2 linked regions of the Sus scrofa genome follow. The protein of the gene in region 1 purifies or fractionates together with the protein of each later gene. This does not show direct contact. Links are inferred from orthologs where the notes say so. Each region holds a gene or a part of one and is shown in the gene's direction. Other genes may lie near its edges.

What was found.
Region 2: the proteins of alpha-1-antiproteinase-like (region 1) and DERL1 purify together in Homo sapiens (affinity purification with western blotting; 4 studies listed by BioGRID). This does not show direct contact. The link is inferred for Sus scrofa from reciprocal best matches to the Homo sapiens genes SERPINA1 and DERL1.

The regions. Positions count from the first base shown.
Region 1 is NC_010449.5:115,593,062-115,597,132, reverse strand, and holds the start of alpha-1-antiproteinase-like, read left to right. Parts: upstream 1-1,268; 5' UTR 1,269-1,337; coding exon 1,338-1,525; exon of another isoform or gene 1,526-1,635; intron 1,636-1,653; exon of another isoform or gene 1,654-1,770; intron 1,771-4,071.
Region 2 is NC_010446.5:16,334,404-16,337,920, forward strand, and holds part of DERL1 (derlin-1), read left to right. Parts: intron 1-856; coding exon 857-967; intron 968-3,517. UniProt on the Homo sapiens protein: Functional component of endoplasmic reticulum-associated degradation (ERAD) for misfolded lumenal proteins. Forms homotetramers which encircle a large channel traversing the endoplasmic reticulum (ER) membrane.

The DNA.
Region 1 (4,071 bases):
ATTCTGAGAGTAGTGGTTTGGGGGCTAGCTTCCCTCTCCCTTGAGCTTGTCCCAGGCTCTACCACTCACATATCCCAGGAACTAGGGTGATCGCCTCCCTCCATGATAAAAATGAGAGCCCTAAGTCACTTGAGGTCCCAATATTCTGTAAGATGCTAACTGCATCAGGATGACCCAGTGTCATTCTTTCACGCGATACCTCTGCGACTTGGCACCTGGCAATTGCCTGTTTTCTCCCTTCTGCACCTGGAAGAAGGGGCTTTGGAGCCCAAAGGACACAGAGTCCAGCTCCTCCTACGTGGTCTCCTAGGGCTGGGACCACGGCAGTCATAAAGCCGGTTCCGTCAGGCAGCTGACATTTACTGGTGATTCACCACACATCAGGCGTGGTACCAGGCTCTGGACCTACCGGACTCATTCACCCCCTCAGCAGCTCTGGAGGATGAGTATCCAGGAGAGATGAACCCTGGGTCGTGCAAGGCCATGGGGCTTCCATCACCCCACCCTCCCAAGGGGCCTTGTACCCCCTGGTGTCTCGGTCTGTGCTCAAGAGTCAGGAGAAGAATTTCCAGCACAGCGAGGGGAAAAGAAACAAGAGTTTATTGAGATAAGAGATGCTGCTGGAGCAGAAGGACAACTTTCAGATGATCAGCAAGAGCTGACCTTGGGCGAGTGGTTGTGTCTGTTTTTATAGCCCGTGGAGAGGAGTGGTCTCAGGATATACCGGCTGACCTGCTGATTTGTTGGGGAGGGGTCTTAGGATACACTTACTGGTGGCTTGGGGGGAGGATAAGGCCCCCATAGGGGTGGGGTGAGGAGTGGGCCACTCGCCTTTCCTAGTAGGGGCAGGAAAGAGTAGGCCAGGTTGCTCGAGGTGGGGGAGGGGGCATTACAATGAGATGGGTGGGGCTAAGACAAGAGTCTGGTAATTCTTTTTTTTTTTTGGTATTTCTTTTTTTTTAAGCTTTATTGAAGTATTGTTAATTTACAAGGCTGTGATCATTTCTGCTGTACAGCAAAGTGACCCAGTCCTGCATGGACACACATCCATTCTCTCTGATTCTTTTCCCACAGAGATTATCACGGAATCCTGGGTAGGGTTCCCTGTGCTAGACAGCAGGTGCCCTTTGGCCAATCAATCGTTCCATATACCCCAGAGTGCATAATGCCAATTCCAAACCCCGGCTCCATCCCTCGCACCCCACCCCCACCCCTGGGTCTGGTAATTCTTGTCTTGGCCAGAGGCTTCGAGTTCAATCTCCTTGCAGGGGCCTTGAAGCCCCACACCTGGTTCCGCTGGGCTGGGCCACTTCAGGGAAGAACAGCAAGGCCCTCAGATGGTATCAACACCCGCTGGCTGGGCTCCGGAGAGGGTGGGGGTGGGGAAGGCTCTTCCTGGGCCCATGGGACCCAGCGACTGCGACCGCCCTATAAGTAGGCAAGGCAAGGCCCCGTATGGAGCAGCCCGCGAGCGTCCAACCAGGGAGCCTCCCCGGGGAATAAGTGAGTTCCCTCCATCTGCCGAGTGAGTAGCTCTCCCTCAGGCCCCTGCGGAGCCGACGCTGGTGGGTGAGGCTGGCCCACTGGACCGAGGCGGAAGCTGAGATACAGACACACTCGGCTCTGATCTGCCAGGTCAGGATGTGAAAGCCGCCGTTGAGTCTTTGCTGTTCTGCTCAGCACGGGCGGTAGGGAAGTGATTATTCCGCATTCCAGGCCCTCAGCCCACGAGGCCCTGGGCACACCGGCTGCTGGGCTGGGCTGCTTCAGGTTGATTTTCTCCTTCTTCCACTCTCCCCAAGCTTGGACAGGGTCCTGTGGCCTCGGGGGTCTTCACCTGGGTCTCTTCTCCCTGCAGGAGTCAGAGCCAAGTCCCCTCGGGGGCCCCCCACTCCCCTGCCCCTCTGTTTCTGGATCCTCTCTCTCTCTCTCTCTCTTTCTTTTTAACTTGTTTGTTTTTGTTGCCCAAACTCAGCCTCTGTCCACCAGTGCCGAATAGAAACACAGACACAGAGTTGGGTGAAGGAGAGAAAAATAGCTTTATTGCCTTGCCTGGCAAAGAGGCCGCCACGGGGTAATGCCCTAAAGACTGTGCCCTCCTTTGGAGAGAACGGGAGGGCTCTTACAGCTCAGGAGTGGGAAATGGGGCTGCAGACAAGAATCGGGGTAGATGCAAGTTTGCATTCTCTCTCAAAGCTGGTGGTTAGTGGCCCCGGGACGGGTTCCAGCGGTCCTCCTTCTTCCCAGAATGAAGACTTCTTCCTCAAATCGTTCTTCCACTTGCTGGGGGGTCTAGTTCTGCAGAAAGGCTCAAACATATTTTTATGTACATTCCTTGAGGAGGAACCAGGACCCCGCCTCAAGGCTGCACTGCTGTTTCTTGGAGACTCCTCCCTGGTCTCTGTGTTCCCTCCCTTCCCTGATGAGCAGCTGCCCTTTGGGGCTCAGGGAAGGTCATGGAGCCCGAAGCCGATTCCCTAAAAACAAGAAATGGGGGACACAGAAAGGCCTGTGTGCCCAGGAGCCCCACAGGGCACTAGCTGGGTTTCATTTTTCATTTTTGTTTTTATGTAGATACCGTTGTTTCCTTTTCTTTTTCTTTCATTCTTTCCTTTCTCTCTCTCTCTCTCTCTCTTCTTCTTCTTTTTTTTTTTTTTTTTTTTTTTGAAGAGAATTCTACTTTCTTATCTTGTTCCTTTAACCTTCAGGCAGCACCGGAGTCCTTGGCCTGGCCTTGTAGACCCCGTGCCCGCCACTATGTGACTGGAGAGAGCAGAGGCCCTGTGATCCTTTGTTCCCCAAATTTTCGGAAGACAGCTCCAGGTCCCCATCTCTGCTCCCTGGCGGCCACCCTCCTGCCCAGTGGACCCCTGGCCTTGACCTCTTGTTGGAACTCCTCCTCTGAGAGGTGGAGGTATACTCATTAACTCCTCAGATAACCCTGCTATCTTTTCTGTCACCTCCTCCCTTTTCTTATCTGGGTTCATGGCCTAAGCTGCTGACTGCTGGCCCCTCACGGATCCTAAAAGCGTTCGTTTGCAAAACCCACTGCCTTCTTCCTGAAGAAAGCTGGGGAAGGCTTCCAGGGGCCTGGCTGCATGTGAGTGTTTAGTTGGTACAATTCTCAAGGGCTATTGTCATGACGCCTTTTGATGGTGGGGGGGGTCATCAAAGTCCCTGCAGCCGAAGGACCACAGAGGCATCTGAGCTGCTCAGGTGACAGATAAGGCAATGATTATCTGAAGGCCTGGCACGACATGCCACAGCAACGTCCAGGGACCCCTTGACAAGGTCCTCATCCCGGAAGAATGAACACCCCAAAATAATGGAGTCCTACAAACACTTCGGCCCCAGTGAGCACGTTCAGTTAGGCATCATCCAACCCAAACCCATTCTGAAATGAGGAAAGTACGTTCAAAGCAGGCAAAAGGAAGTCTCCCTCCCCAGTGTGCCTCTGAGCCCTTCCTACCCCAACACGGGATCCCACAGGCACGCTTGGACCCCAGGGGACCCTGGGCCATGCCTAGAGAATGTTTGATTGTCACATCGGGGGCTTGGGGAGGTGCCACTGGGATCTCATTTTATCCAGGATGCTGCTAAACCCATTACAGTGCACAGGACAGCCCCCCGCAGCGTACAGTTTTCCAGCCCAGAAACAGTGCTGAGCTTGGGACCCCCTGACTCCCTGTGTGCCCAGTCCTTAGAAGCAGCTAAGCTCCTGCTGCAGGGAGGCAGTTATTGGGGGAAGAAACCCCTGTACACAGGGCAGCAGGCCAGAAGCACAGAGACCTCTCTGTCTCAGCTGAGCTTGACCCGCTGTGTGGCCTTGAGAAAATTACCGACTCTCTCTGAGCCTCATTTGTCACATCTTATAAGTTGAAGATTACAAACCACTCCATGAGACTGTTGACCAAAAAAATACAACCTGAAAGTTGAGAGTTAAGTTTTATTTGGGGTGAAATTAGGACTTAAGCCCGGGAGACAGCATCTCAGGGAGTCCTGAGAAAACGCTCTGAGGAGGCGACGGGGGAAGCTAGGATATATGAGTTTTTGCAAGAAAGGGGAGGTGGT
Region 2 (3,517 bases), on another chromosome or scaffold:
CCCTCCCATCTCCCCCCGCTTTGGTAGCCATACGTTTATTTGCTGTGTCTGTGAGTCTGTTTCGGTTTTATGATAGTACTAGTGCTTAATACACCTGACGTCTTTGCTCCGTGTGGTCCTGACTTGAACTGCATCCATAGGAGGGAGGGAATGAGTCGAGTACACAGACTCTGTTTAGAGCAGAGCAAGCTCGGTAGAACTGCCCTGCGGCCAGAAGAGCAGTCAGGTCTGGGAGGAGGTGTAGACACTGATTTCCTACAACAGGAGTCCCCTAGAGGTGAAGACGGGAGGCTATGTAGGAGTGGATCTGTGAATCCAGGATTACAAGGTGAAGGTCAGCTTTCCAAGGTGATCGCTATGATGTCTCACAGTCAGGGACACAAGGGCAAAGGCAAATGAGCCCTGGGTCCGTGTCTGGAAGAGGGGAGTGGACATGGACGCTCCCTCCTTTCCGTCCCTGCGTCTCTCTTGCCCGCCCTCACATCTGCCATTTTGCAAATGCGGTGTTCACATCTGGTAGCATTCAGAAGCTTGCTTTGCAGCTCCCCCAACCTTGGAGGCCGGAAGTAGCAAAAACCGTATTTTGAGGATGGGCTGGGGCTTGAAAGAGATGTCAGAGGAGCAGCTGGCCTTGAAGAGCACAGGCCGCGCTGGTCCAGCAGGATGGACGTCCCGTCTCATTCAGGATGCGTTCGCCACTCAGACGATGACAGGGCTCACTGTCGAGCTGTCACCGACTCCCAGGGCCCAGAAATGGGCGGTCTCGAAGGATCTGAGCCCTGTGCTCTTAGTTAAAACTTGGGGCCTCTCACTTTACTACTCGACCGTCTTTAAACTCTTGGCTTTCTGTCCGCAGGGTCATCAACGAGCTTATCGGAAATCTCGTTGGACACCTTTATTTCTTCCTCATGTTCAGATACCCAATGGACTTGGGAGGAAGAAACTTTCTGTCCACGCCTCAGTTTTTGTAAGTGTTTCTTCCTCTTTTTCAGCAATCGTTTTAACCGCCCAAGTTCTTCTGCGCCCTGATAAAAACTCCCTGAGGGGTAGGATTTCCCTCTTTGTCTGATGGAAGAATACAAGCCAACAAGGGCGTTGCCCGGGTCACACAGGCACAGGAAGCCAGGGCTCAAGGCCTCGGCCTGGCCTCCTGGAGCCCTGGTAGCCAGGGGCCACTGAGCCCAGATTCTGGCATCTCAGGGAGCTGAGGGCCCTGCTGAGCAGGCAGGCACCTGTGTGCACAGCAAGGGACCAGGGTGACAGGGTGACCACGGTTTTAGCCAAGATTTTGGCTGAGGAAGGGGTAAGAGGGTAAGTGGGCTCATTGTTAGCAGCCTAAAACAATTTGTGTATTCAGTAGTAGAGATTAGAATGCTTTTTTTTTTTTTTTTTTTGCTTTTTAGGGCCATACCTGCGGCATGTTGAAGTTCCCAGGCTAGGGGTTGAATCGGAGCTACAGCTGCCGGCCTATACCACAGCCACAGCAATGCTGGATCTGAGCTGAAACTGTGACCTATACCACAGCAAATGCTGGATCCTTAACTCACGGAGCAAGGCCAGGGCTTGAACCTGCGTCCTCATGGATACTGGTCAGCTTTGTTACTGCTGAGCCACAGCAGGAATTCCCTAGGCTAGAATCCTGAAAGGACTTTTCAGAGTTACACACAGAGACCCGAGGCATGTATAGTCCTGCCCCGGAGGCTGTTCTTGTACCCTGTCTCCCCGCAGGATGTGCAAAGGTCAGGATGCCGAGGGCCCAGCTTTGGTTTGGGGGCAGACCTGGCCTGGAGTCCTGTTCCCCTCCTGTACCAACTTTGATACTGGGGAAGTGACGGAGTAAATGCTCCAGGTCCGTGAGTCGGGGGGAGGCCCTGCAGGAGGTGAGACGTGCAGGAGGTGAGACCTGCACCGCAGTGGGCATTCTGCAAATGCAGGCTCTCAGCCTCGCTCCTGAAGTTGGGGCTGGGAGGACGGGCTTCCCACGAGCTCAAAGAGATGCTGACACGCTTAAGCCTGTAAGCGGTGTGACCCCTCTGTCAGTGAAGCGAAAGGCTGCTGAGGAAGGGACCAGTGACATTGCCATCTGGGTGTCACCGCCGGCCTCACAATCACGCCTCATCTCCACTCGTGCATATGCGATAATAGCTTGCATTTAAAAGCTTAAAAAAAAAAAAAAAAAAAGCGAAAAACCATTTTCATGTCCTGCTCATATTAATGTTTTGCAGTTTGTCATTCTTCCAAGGGGCCAATGAGGGCAGTACAACTTGAGTAGGCACCCCTCCACCCCTCTTTCCTAGGTTAGAGGAAGGTTTTTGAAAGACTTCTTGAGATAAAATATACAAACAGGGAAGTACACTGTTGTTGTACGTGTGTGTGAGATACTGTTGGTGTGTGTGCGCGTGCCTGCGTGCCTGCGTGTGTGTGTGTGTGTGTGTGTGTGTATGTATGTATTGGAAGGTTTGTTTTTTTAAATGGCCACACCTGCAGCATATGGAAGTTCCCTGGCCAGGGATTGAATCCGAGCTGCAGATATCAATACTGGATCCTTTAACCCACTGCCCGGAGCCAGGGATCAAACCTGCACCTCTTCTGTGACCCGAGCCACTGCAGTCAGATTCTTGACCCCACTGCGCCACAGCAGGAACTGCTGGTTTTATTTTTTTCATTAAAAACGTAAAAAGAGATTCATTTCCCTTCCAAGCCTTGAGTCGCCTTCCCAAACCCAGATGACCGATCTGCTTTGTAATTGTCAAAGCACACGATCACAGCAGGTTTGGATTTTTCATCTTGGTTTATCAGGTGGGATGGCAGATGCATCAATTAAAAAAAACAAACACTTGTTGCTTTGTGGGGACAGCCGAGGGTGATTTTACTTTAAAAGGCCGTCGTCTTCATGGCTTGGAGAGATTTCTCGGTTGTGGACAAGAACGTCTATGGGAGTCTAGTGGCAAAATCAACAGCACGCTGGCGTCCGTCTTCCCCTTGAGCTTTCCCCGTTGGTAGAAGCCCTTCTGTTAAATTTTGCATAAAGATCAGATGACAAAATGTAGCTCCTTGCACAGGCAGTAACTGCTTTGAAATTACCATAAATCTTTGTTGATTATGTATAATTGGGTATCTTTTTATACTAATTACTTGCATTTAATTTCCCTATCTGTTGAAGCCCTGGAGATGGCTTCCATATTGTCTCAGAGTAAGAAGCAAAGCAAGACAGCCCTCGCGTTGCCTTTTTTAAGTCTCCTGATTTATTATATACTTCGGAGGCACGTTATTGTGCCAGAACGGCATGAATGTTGGGAAACCGGCGCTTGCAAATACATGTTGATGGAATGATAAAACTGTATTTGTTTAAAAAGGAAGACGTGAGCTACAGAATTCTAAGACGTATCACGATTCTGCATCCCACGTAGAAACGTAGACAGACCCTCTTCTGTGCACGGTTATTTTTCTGTTTAAACGGGGTTTGTTGCTGGAGGGGAGGGAGGCTGCCGCTGACAGGGATGATGCAGACCCATGA